Linked DNA regions of Drosophila melanogaster. The protein of the gene in region 2 interacts with the protein of the main gene of each other region in a pairwise test. Each region holds a gene or a part of one and is shown on either strand. Other genes may lie near its edges.

Region 1 (6,448 bases), on a different chromosome or scaffold from region 2:
ATTTTCATGGTACTCTTCTGCGTTTTCTGGTACTTCAACTACTCCGTGCTGCTCTCGCTGGCCGGATTGATTGGCCCAACAAGTGCCTCCATCGCGGATATTATTCCCGGAGTTCAAGGACATGGGCTCAAGGTCACCTAAAATACCGATCAGACCATGCCCAGACCAATCGTGTGTACTGTTCTCCGTTCCAATATCCAAAATAGCCGCGTATCTGTACCTCGCCGCGATGCTTTATCTAATCCGCACGCGTTTATACACCGCAATCAATGAATGGAACGTAGCTGTAGGCGACACATGTCCAAAGAGGCGATCTAATCGCTTGCTGATCCGAATCTGAAGTGGACAACACCCGGCGACTGTCCATCAATAGCTGCCTCACCGTTTAATGTAGTTATCTAGCAGTAGTTACAAGTTTAAAGTCAGTTAATAAATCTAACGCTTACACAATCGCACTGTGAAATAGTTAAAAAAAGAAATGATAAATGATATACGCAAGTGTTGTTGCATTGTTTTCCTGGTTTATTTTTGTTTAATTTTGAAGAGGTATTTCCCTTGTTTATTCCGACTTAACTGATGTGCTTCCATTTGTGAATTATTGTTAGCGCCAACAGACGTTGAACATGCTAAATCCGTACTTCAATGCTCTAAGTGTTATAATTCATTACAAAAATATATAGATAGCCTATGGTGTATGCGTATTGAATATGGTAAAACTAGTTTTGTGTATTTTTCTTATTTTTTTGTTTGTTTTGTTTTCGTAGAAAAGAAAGTGCGCGTTTTGTTATTCGAGCGAAGATCGCACACGATTAGTATCAGATCAAATTGGGGCTTTTTAAGGTGACAGTTTGGCTGAGTTCTTCGGGGATTACGGTTCAGTTTTGGTTTTGCGGGGGGACTCACTTAGCCTACGGTACAAGCTAAACTCTTAGAACTGCTCTTCATCCGTGAAGGAAATTAATTAATGGCTACCATCTAACTTCCTTTTGCACTGCAATCCTATTTTGTTAGAGAATGAACTTACACTACTTACTTAAAGGGCGGGCAGCGGGCGGATGTGTTCACCAGGTGACAATCTTGTCCGGCCGCTCCGCTCGTTACAGGTTACAGATACAGATAAAAACTGGCTACAACTAACTGTACAATAATGCCTTCCGGAGCCAAAGGAGCTTTAATATTTTAACCATCTCATGCCAATACCTGCCACACATTAAAGCGCACTACTAGTTAGGATGTTAGGGACGTGCCATCCAGCAGCACCGACGCCACCTCCTCGTTCTGTTCTACGTACACTAGACGAGGATCCTCGCCAAACTCCAGTCGCCCGTATCTGGCCACCAGCGGTGTCTTGTTGTTGCTCACTTGCGGTGCGCGCGGCCACTTCCTTTTGGGCTTCGTGTGCGTCAGCATGTGGGACTTGAGGTTCGTTGACTGGGCGAAGCACTTGGAGCAGCCATCAATGGGACAGTGGTAGGGCCTATCGCCAGTGTGTATCCGTACGTGGGTGCGCAGATTGAAGTCCAGCGAGAAGCGCTTGCCGCACCCCTCAAAGGTGCACTCAAAGGGCTTCTCGCCGGTGTGCACCAGCTGGTGGCGCTTTAGCTTGGAGCTCTCTACAAAGCTCTTGCCGCAGACGTTGCACACATGACCGCGCGGTCCGTGCGTGTGCATGTGCTTGCGCATGGCCGAGTGGTTGCGAAACTCCTTGTTGCAGCCGCGATGGGTGCAGCGAAACTTTGGCTCCTCATCCTCTTCGCCGGCCGCGCCAGCTGCTCCCATGGCATTACCAGCCGTCTGATTGGCCACTGCAGTCGGTAATTTGGTTACAATTGTGGGTCGTTGGGGTCGGGCTGGATTGCTGGAAGCCACTAGTGGCGGTGGGGGATTTGGTGTCGCCACCTGAGCCGCCGCCGTGAGTTGCCTCTTTGTCACCTTTGACTGATTTCCCGCACTTTTCAGTCGCACATTGGTGCTGCTGTTCTGGAGCACTAGTTTTGGGAGAGCCGGCTGTGGATTCGGTACACATCCGTTGACCTTCGATAGCGCTACCGACACAGTGGCTGGACCTGGTCCCGGTGTCTGTATCAGCTCCACATTATTCGGCATGTTCTCGATAAGCTCGATGTTACCATAAGCTTCTTCCAACTGGTTTTCCGCATAGATCAACTGTTCACTTAGCGGCTGGCTGTCCTCCTCGCCTTTGACATCGCCCATAAATGCATTAACCACCTCCTCCACATCCGTGACCGCAGAGGCGCTGAATGGATCGGGTAGGATGACGTACTCGTTGCCGATGCCATCGCTTAAAACATCGTGGTTGATCATGTGCTCGTCAATAATAAGCTTTGGCATGCTGGGTGATCCTTCATTCTGGGCGGCGGAGGAGGACGTCACGGATGTGGTGCCAGCACAACCAGGTGGTTCCTCCAACTCCTCCTCCTCGTCCTCATCCTCCGAGTTGAGCGAGGACCAAAGGGTGACATTGAACTCATCCTGCGTTATGCGTATGGGTACCTTTGTTTGCTTCCAGCGCTTGGCCGCTGAATTTCCCATGGGCCTCTCGACGCGACTGCTTCCAAATAGCTTAAAATCCTGCAGCTGGCCATTCGAACTGTTTGAATCCTCGGTCGCCTTCATATAGAAGTCGCTCTCGAGCTGCTCCTCCTTGATGTTTGTGGCCTCGATGGTGGTTAGCATCTCGGAGGCAATCTCGAAGGCATTTGTCGTAGCCGGCGCGGTAGCCTCATCATCCTCATCGCCATCGCCATCGCAGGAGGATGTCATCTGCTGTCCATCCTCCTCGATGAATTCCTCATCGTCGCTGGTCTGCTGCATGATGATCGGCGGCGGCAGTGCATCTGCCGTAGCCACCGTGACCGAGGTAAGTCTGTCCAGCCGATCCACCGGATAGTATTCATAGTGCTCAAAGAATTCGCCTGAGTCTACGACGATATTAGCCTCATCATCATAGTCGTCGATGATCTCCTCGATCAGGAAGCTCTCGCTTTCCTCGCCCATCGGATCGCCCGCCAAAACGGTGTACGGATCTTGCTCGACTATGGTAGCCGCCGTAGGCTGGTGTGCATGAGTGAAGTATGCCGACGACGGGGCGGAGTGCAGGGGCAACGGTACCGCCGCAGCGGCCAGCGATAGATTCTTCACGATGGGCGCTCGTATCTGATGCAGTTGAGGCTGGAAGTTCCCTCCGACGCCGACGTGATGATGATGACTTGTCATCGCGGCTGCTCCGTCTGCCTGTCTGTGTGCCTGTATCTGTATGCTTGTATTTGTGGGCGCTCTTGCTTCGTGCGTGAGTGTTAGTGTTGTGTGTGCGAGCGCGCTGCGGAAAAAGTGGGCAATTAGTATCTGGCCAAAAATCCGTATTATGTATATATCTCTATATATTCGCCAGACTTCCAAAGTGGACAAACGTACGTGTTTTCGTCGGTATTGCTGCACTGAACTGGCCTTTCCCTCCACCTCTTTTTCCACTTTTTTGTGGCCAATGCCTATCGTTTATTGTGCGACGGCGGCGGCAGACGGCGAATGATGCGTACCGCTCGCTCCGCTCCGCCCGCCACTCTCCTGCTGCCCAATGGCGGGTTAATTCTCGCTTTGGATGACCACCTCGATCCCGCTCACCTCGGGCAGTGTAAATATTTTGAATTTTGCCGGTTAATATGGCGGAATTGTATTTTCCAGAAACGGCTCGGTACTTTCTCTCGCGTTGCGTGTGTGGGGTGTGTGTGTGTGTAGTGTGCAGCGACAGGCGCCACAATGCAACCCTGCGCGCGCTTTGTGTATATCTTAAGCGGTTTATTCAGCGGAGATTGGTTATTCTCTTCGCATTACTTCGCAAAACAGCACAAATGTAATCTTAACTACTATTCAAAAATTGCATTTTATTAACCTCCAACTGGCAAACCATTTATTAGCTGTAAATACCGCGGCGTTCTGTCTTTCGATAAGCGATAGGTTTGTTGTTCTGCCACCAGGGTTGCCACCCGACAAGAAAACAAATGCGCAATAACAATAAATTAATCTCCATGGCTTTACTATTATTTCGAGCTATTTACAATTGTTGCTCATAAATAACTAGTTAAATTTCTTTAGCAATAGAACTTCTGGAATATAAATACGCTTCAGCTTCGACTCCACAAAGCGCTCGTGTTGGGGTGTAAATACCTCTGCATTGTGGTTAAAATCAGTCTTATTAAATTGCACCGCCTTCCTATCCGCTGTTAAGGATATATTATAATGCCGACATTGGTCCTGCAATCCTGTTGGCCCATCGAACAACAGTAAACGCAACAAGTAAGGAACCGGCACCGTAAGCTGTTTGTTGTTGTAGGCATGCGTGAAAATCTGCAACAAACTCCTGCAAATATACATACATACATATGTATTTACATTAAAAATGCATCATGTCAATAAGAGATCCAATAGAAAAAGTTATACTGTACCTCCTTATCACCTGCAACTTGGCGGCAGCTACCGCGCACAGAATATGCGGCAATTGTGGCACACCCATGAGCACTCTATACAAATTGCCCTGTTGGAAGGCCAAACAGATCCCAAAACAAAGCTTAAACGTCGCATCCCGACGCACATAGTCCGGTAAGGTGAGGGCGCGTGTAAAGGACTCGGGAGAACCCAGATTAAACAATTGATACAGGCTCTCTATGAAGCAGCGCCGCTCAAGCTCACGAACGGTGGGTTCTCTAGATGATTCCAAGTCCTCCAGTTCTTCGTAACAGCAAAGCACTCCCGTGAGGCACTCTTGCAAATGCTGATTGCATATCTTGAGATCGAACTTCTCGATGGGCTCCTCACACAAGCGATAGCGACTATATGCCAGAAACATCACAATGGGCTCTAACAGGCAAATCTTCTGACTGGCATCGTACATCTGGATCACGATCTCCCGACGCACCGCCCTCAATCGATCGAATATGAAGTCGTAAGCCACATTGTACGGCTTTCGTGTGTCCAGGATTATGCTGCACAGTATATTAATTATCAGATTTAACTTGGCTAACTAAGCGCCTAATATACTTGCTCCTTGAGCAGATATTCCACTGTTTTGGTCAATGCCGCTTCTGTGCGCATTTCCTTGGGCATGGGCATCTTGACATCGGCGGCGGAGCGTGTAAACTCCTTGACCAGGACTCCTGGCTTGTTCTTCTGGCCATTTTTTAGCTCGAAATAGTGCAAAAGCTTCTCGCGAATACGCCTGAATGTATTAAACGGTGTTATTATATTAAATTCGGGTTTAAATTTCGTTTACCTACATTTTCGCCTCCCCATCGGGACAGAAACTTTCGCAAGATCCTCGAACTTGGGCCATTTGTTGATGAATGCAGCCAATTTCAGCAGCAAACAAACCAGGGATGCAGGTCTTTTGGATCAAAGGCGTAGCTCAAATTTTTTAATGGGGTTCAGAAAATAAAATATGCTTCTTAAATCTCGTACGCCAGCTTCTAACTAATAAAATTCCGAAATTGGGACTTTATTAGGATCCATATTTATAAAAACGAACGCGCTGACTCGTTTTTTTTTTTAACCCTCTTGCCACGCCGCTGAAGTCAGCAATCAGCTGTCTGGGCGGTCTGGGTTGTCAGGTTGTCTGGGCCTTAAAATTGTACTAAATTTTCAGTTTGTTTTTCCCTGCCCAGCACAAAACGAAATGTTTTCGCGGCATTTCGCAGCCTTCTTTCGATTCAACCGATATGTTGCCCAAAAATACAGCAGTTTTATAGCCGCCGGCTTTAGCAACAGGTTTTCGCTGAAGGTTGCAACTCTGCTGCCGCTGGTAGTCCTCCGATCCGCGGATTGCAGGCAAAAAGAGGACCAGGAGGTAAAGCGACCGGTCCGTAGGCGAACCATGAGCAAGGTTAAGTACGAGACGAGTCTGGAGGGGAGGGCGCAGCTCTATCTCAACGCCATGAAGGTGAGATGGGACCAGCTGCACAAGGTGCCCGGGCTGTTTTCATATCAATTGGAGAAATCCCCTCAGAGCCGGAAAATACCAGGATACTGGGGCTTCTATGCGGAGGTGAGTGTCATATTCTTGTTCTCTAGTAATATTTATTGATTCTTGTCCTCCAGCTTAATTCAGATCGAAACCGTAAGCGCCGACGTCCCCAGACCATCGAGAGCCTCAATCCCACCTTTAAGCACATGATGTTCAACTTCAATAAAGTCGATGCCCAGGAGGTGATCATGACCATTGATGATGCACACGGCAGTCCCGAAGTTCAGATGATCATAAACAAGAGCCCAATCACCAAATATCATACTTTGATCTGCCCGGAAGTAGGTAAAAACCATACCCAACGGATTACCCGTGACGCTCTTCAGTTCTGCATCACCTTTATGCGAAATATCGATGATAAGGATATGCGGATGGGTTATAATAGCCCTGGAGCGCTGGCATCTGTAAATCACC
Region 2 (5,978 bases):
CGGAATACGTTCACTATACGGCTGCACCAAGTGGACGAAGGTGGAGGAGGTGCGGCTATAAGGAATTCCAATTGCACTACGCCAGGATTCTGTCACTATTCTACACCGGGAAACTATTATATTTGATTATGTAAATGATACCATATCCCATAAATATACTTATCCAATTCAAACAAAGATCAAGTAGGACATACACTTTGCTTCTACTGCGCTATAATTCCCTACTGGTTCTATATATGCAACTAACTCTCTGTTTCTCGTTTAACCAATCAGCACACAAATATACAATATTATATTTACCACTTTGAATATCCCACTTCATTTCTTTCTGTGTAGAGAATAGAGCGAACCGACGAAAATTACTCTGATAACCGATTGTGTGCGCTGATAACTGATAGCCATGTTATTATTAAGGGCTATTAAAATTCTGATTGAAAATTCATGTCAAAAATATATTTTATTATCCATTATAAAACTTCATTTCGGTTCTTGATTACAACCGGGCAATATAGAATCCAATCGAATTGTAACGATTCGAATTGTTCAAAAACGATAGCTGCTTACACTTCTACGGTGATATGGCAATGCGAGTGCATAGATAGCGTTTTCAAATAAAAGCCGGTTGAGTTATCAGACTACCATATATGATGTCTAGCCTTATAATAACTACTCTATGTAATTTCTTGCGGGATAGGATTTGTTTAACTTATAGTGTTATTTAAAGTTTATAGTGAAATAGATGTTCCTAATTGCTGACACTCCCTTCATTCTTCATTTTGCTCGACTAGCAAATTCCGTCGCATTTTAATGGACGCACGTCAATCTCCTCTGCATATCAGTCAGATTTGTAGACGCTTCTCTAATTGGAAGTAGAGCAGATAGGGAATGGGATCTCTACCAATCCGATGGGAATCGGAGCGAAGAGCACTCCACTTGTTCACACTCCATCCTCGACGCACTAAATTTGGTGTGTAATTCTTTAAATCGTTGCCATGTGTTGGAGGAACGATGCCAAAACCGAGTGACACCAATAATCCGTAGCTGGGATCTGGGACGCCCAGAAAGATATTCAAATCTGTGGCGAAGACTGGAGGGACAAACGGGAGCTCATAACACTTATTTATGCGACCGATGAAATGGGAACATTAGCTCTTTGTGTTTTGTAAATATTTGTCATAATTTCGAGGGGCGCCCAACGACATGTGCGCCTCAACCAGACGATTTTTTTTTTTTTATTTTCAAGGCATTTAAAGATCCCCCACCACCATTGTGCATTTGTTTTCCGAGTTGTGCTTTTAATGTCGCAATTAAATGCATGAGTTTTTAAAAAAATTAGATGCCTGTCAAAATTGTCTAATTTATGGTTCACAGAAAGCTTTGTTCCAAAGTTGTCCCCCCAAAATTAAGAAGCTATTGGGGAACCACCAGCTTCTGCTTTTTTTCAGAATTTTCTGTTGGAATTTCAAACTGAAAATATTCTAATTTCTGCTAAGAAATGCATCTGCTTTAAACTTAAAGACTATCCCTATATTGTGTACTTTTGATTCAACATTTGGTAGATTTGGCTTATATATTCCTTTAAAAAGGTTGGCACAATTAAAAATGTATTGTTTTAATAATAGTTCCCGAAGGAGATCATCTAAATCTTCTCTGTTGTTACTTCTAGTCACGTATCTGCTGAGTAGTATGAAAACCAATTTCCCAGCATAGATAATGAAATTACACACTTGAAGCCATAACTAAATGGCAAACAATAAGAGGTGAAAAGCCCTTTGGCTGAATAAAATCAAACAGCCATGCGAAGTGGCAACCAACTTTGGCCCCCAGGAAATCACTTAGCCACCGTTCGCCGAGGCAGAAAGCATTTGAAGTTAATGGCGCAAAAACCAATCGCAAGTGCCAAGTCAGAGCTGCCAAAGGCAAAGGCGATTGGGGGATAGTCAAGTGCGAGGAATGCGACATTAGTGTTTGCCGAGGTGCCACGAACCACTTGAAATTAAATGGCGCGGCGCACTTCAAACGCCAGAGACAACAGCGATTACCAAATCGATGGCGGTTTGAGCTGATCTACAAAGAAAAGAAAAAGAAGATAGAAAATCGCAGAAAATCCAGAGAGCCCGCCCCCAAAAGCAGAGCAGGTATTACCAAACCAAAGGCCAGCAAACACGCGCCCAGCACACGCACACCACCCAACACCCATCCACTTCGCTAACCAACTCCCACCATCACCCACTTGCCACCATTGTTCGGCGGTGGCATTGATTTGAACGAATCAAAGCGGTATGCGCACTAAAAATACCAACAACAAGCTACCAAAAATCCAGATTAACCATGGCCAGCTGGAAAGGGGGCGTGGCCACGAGAATGGCAAATGGTGGTTGCTGTTCCGATTCCACTTGGACATTATTCCGCCGTTCCAATTGGAACCAGCCGTCGTCTCGCTCGCACTCGCATCGCCGCAACGCAGTGGTGGTGGTGATAGCGTTTCCGCTGAGTGGAAACTCGATTGCCGCTCCGCTCGTCAGTCGCCTGCAGACGCTCGCTGACAGCGGTAAAATCGGAGCAGCAGCAATCCGCATCCGAGCGGGCATTCACATCGAATCGTATATACAACGAGAGCCGTTCTCTCGCTGACGTCGCTGCCAGCGTCGACGTCGCTGCCAAATCTAGGCGAAAATCGCAACACTTGGCATACACAGCATATGGCACTTGGCCGCACTCCGAATCCCTGGCTAAAAGTCAAGTGCAGGAGCAGCAGCAGCCGCAGCAGCAGCAGCAGCGCCAGAAGCAGCAGCAGCTGCGGCGCCAGCAGAGTTTTCCAAGCTCGGCAGCAGAGATTCACTCTCGGTCGGGCGCCGGCGTCAGCGTTCCACGGATCCGTGATTAGGTTTTTACGGTGCTTCAGTCCGCTCGATGACGCCGAAGCCAGCAGTTATGCGCCCAGTAGCAGCAGCATCAGCAGTCAGAGCAGCAGCAGCAGCATTAAAGCCCTAAATCTGTGACACTTCCTTCCGGTAGCCACGTTGCGTATACGCCACCGTAACCGCATTCGCATGCCGTCGCGTAAAAACCAAACAGTTTCAGTGCCAAATCAAAAGAACCAAAGCCAGCTGATAAAAGCCTAAGCTAATCCAAAGATAAACATATAGAAAAAAAAAACTTATTGAATCAGTGATAAAACCGTTATGGACGTGGCCAAAATGCAAGCCACTTCCGGTCAGCATCTGCTGCATCCGGCCGCACCGCCCGCCCACCAACACCACCTGCCCCTCGACTACAGCCTGGGCAACTTTAAGCCAGCCATCGCGTCTGACTTTCCCGGACCCTTCCTCACCAGCCAGCAATCCTCGTCGGCCTCCAATTCCGCCTCCTCCTCCGCCGCCGCCACCGTTCCGCTGCAGGTGCGCGATCTCAGCGCGCTGACGGCCATGGCCACGATACCCTCGCCCACCCAGCTGCTTCACCAGCGCATACAGATGTCCGCGGACGCGGCCTTGGGCCACCACCAGCAGCAGCCGGCACAGAATCCCAATCCCAATCCGAATCACCCGCAGCCACAGATGCCGCCGGCCTCCACGTCGCCGCACGAGTACGCGCCTATGTCCGCCTTCAAAGCGGTGCTGCCCAAGAAGCGAAACTCCGACGGTAAGCCGGAATCACTCACTATATTTGCATGCTCAATCGTAAAAGCTTTGAAAATCCGTCAGCAATTGGGATTTTAGTTCTTGTCACTAAGTGAAATTGAGTTCTGTAAAATTTTGTTAAGTGCATAAATCGTATCAAGTTCATTGTCTCCAAATAATTCACTTTTGAATGTGGTTGATTGCTCATTTTTATATGTGATGATTTATATTTATTGAAATTCAGTGGCAAACCTGTGGCAATTTATTTATACAATCACTATAAATTGTATCAATAATTAATTACTTCGTATTTCAAAAAAAGCCTTCCACATATAAATATAGATGCATATTCCAATTGCATATTATTTATTCCATTTAGAAAGTTATCATTTTGTATTTCTAAAAAATTAAGTAGTCTCGTAAATATTTCAAAATTTTGCTAGAAAAATTCATCAAATATAGATTTTAATATTTAAATAAAATAATTCCTTAAAATTAAATCTGACCAAGTTTCTCAGAGATTTCTGAAGAATTTACTCTATTTAAATATTAGTAAATCAATAGATCGTTAAAAAAAAATGCAGTGAATGATATTCAGCGCATTTCTGAGTATCAACATTTATCAAATTAAATTTTTGTGCAGCCTGCGAACAGATTGGCATAAACCCAATCACACTCCCACCACATTTCATATGCCCCGAGTTAATTAAAAAAAAAAATGAAAACAAAAGGGACTGAAATCAACAACACAGAAACCGAAACAGAAACGGTGAGACTCCAATCCGCGGCGAGTGGCTACAAATCCCCCAAAGGCTGGTCAGCGGGCAATGTAGGAATTTTTAAAAATTTATTTGAATAATGTGTGATTTTAAAATATCACACACTGGCCATGTCCGAGTGAAAGCCCAAAGGCTGCACGGTGTCGGTTTAATTGGAAAAAAGCCCAAGTACGGTGGGAAAGCGTGGAAAGCAAAAATTGTTCGGGGGCAGCAGGAGCTGGCCGGGATATTCATTATTCCGTTTGTGTGTGTGTGTGTGTGTGTGTGTGTGTGAGTGAGCGCGACGCTTAATGGGCAAATCTTCTGTGCGGACATTGGGGCGGAAAAATGGATATCGGGGATTGAAAAATCCATAGCTGGACCACAGATACACAGATACAGATACGGCTGCGAACGGCAAACCATCGAACAAACTTGTAGATACACAGTTCAGTCCAGTCCAGTCCAGATACATCCACACACACAAGTGTGCTTGTGTATCTGTGTGCAGACGGCGTTGTCATCGCCATCGCTGTTGAATTTCAAATATGGGCATTGAATGAATGAATGAGCGTTCGCACGGGATCCACAAGCTTCAGTGTTGTCCGAAATGAACCGAACAATTTGGCTTTAAAAGGACTTTAAGAAATTAAATTCCTTATAAAATGGATTTCAGTATGAACCAATTTTGTTTTAATCTTTCACTAGCTAGATGCAGACAGCTGTGTCTCCTTTTTCCAAACTTTAAGTAGATTCGGACTTTTCCAGCCAAGCTGTCAGCACTGACCGTCATGTGTGTGTGAGTGTATCTCCCCTCTCTCAGTCTATCTTCCCTCCCATATTTCCCCACTCACACACACACACAGATACAGAATCAACACACACAGGGCAGCGACAAGCGGATTTCATTTACCGGCATTACATGTATCCAACGGATATGTTTTTAGCTCTCCACCGCTTCCAGCACAGACATGGATATGCGGAAAAGCAGACACACACACCAGACACACACACACACAGACGCACGCAAACACACACTCGCACACTGAATTTTCAATTCCGTTTGCCGCGACAAGCACCCCGACTTCCCCCCCCCCCTCTTTTCCAACCTTATTCTTTCTCTAGAGAAAATGAATTTCGCTTTGTTTGTTGGAATATTTTCTCGGTTTTTGGTGGGACAATATATATTGGTTGATGTGGCGAAAGTTCGCAGGGCTCTTTGGTGACTGATTGGCCCCTCCTGTTGAAGGACGTAAACTTTGTGAAAATCTGTATGGCACTGCAGTTTAAGCCTTTGAATTTAATGGATTAAAAGGAGATGATATTGTATCCTGAAAGTAGGCATCAGTTATTGCAATGTTATGTGGAATCTTAGAATTTCTTGCTCCTTCTCTGTGCAGCATTTTAAAGTCAGTAATTAATAGCTTAACCTCGTATAGAATAGAGTAGCTTGCTGTGTACCACTTATCTTTTCAACCATTGAGACACAACCTTGCCCCGAAAGGTCAGTCTGAAATATTGTCTCGATTTCCCATTAGCCAACCAACCACACACCCACGAGTGGATGATCTTAATTTTTGTCATTTGCCACCGCCGT

What was found. The genes of interacting proteins can lie anywhere in the genome.
Region 1: the proteins of sens-2 (region 2) and phol interact in a two-hybrid assay, tested with the Drosophila melanogaster proteins (one large-scale study listed by BioGRID).

Annotation. Positions count from the first base shown.
Region 1 is NT_037436.4:9,452,303-9,458,750, forward strand, and holds phol (pleiohomeotic like), read right to left. Parts: upstream 3,980-6,448; 5' UTR 3,436-3,979; intron 3,341-3,435; 5' UTR 3,238-3,340; coding exon 1,228-3,237; 3' UTR 501-1,227; downstream 1-500. Other genes in the region: ghi (ghiberti), read left to right, coding at 1-141; CG3437 (uncharacterized protein), read right to left, coding at 4,096-4,378, 4,464-5,000, 5,060-5,233, 5,292-5,347; CG3552 (uncharacterized protein), read left to right, coding at 5,687-6,055, 6,109-6,448.
Region 2 is NT_033779.5:6,819,415-6,825,392, forward strand, and holds the start of sens-2 (senseless-2), read left to right. Parts: upstream 1-2,519; 5' UTR 2,520-3,185; coding exon 3,186-3,645; intron 3,646-5,978.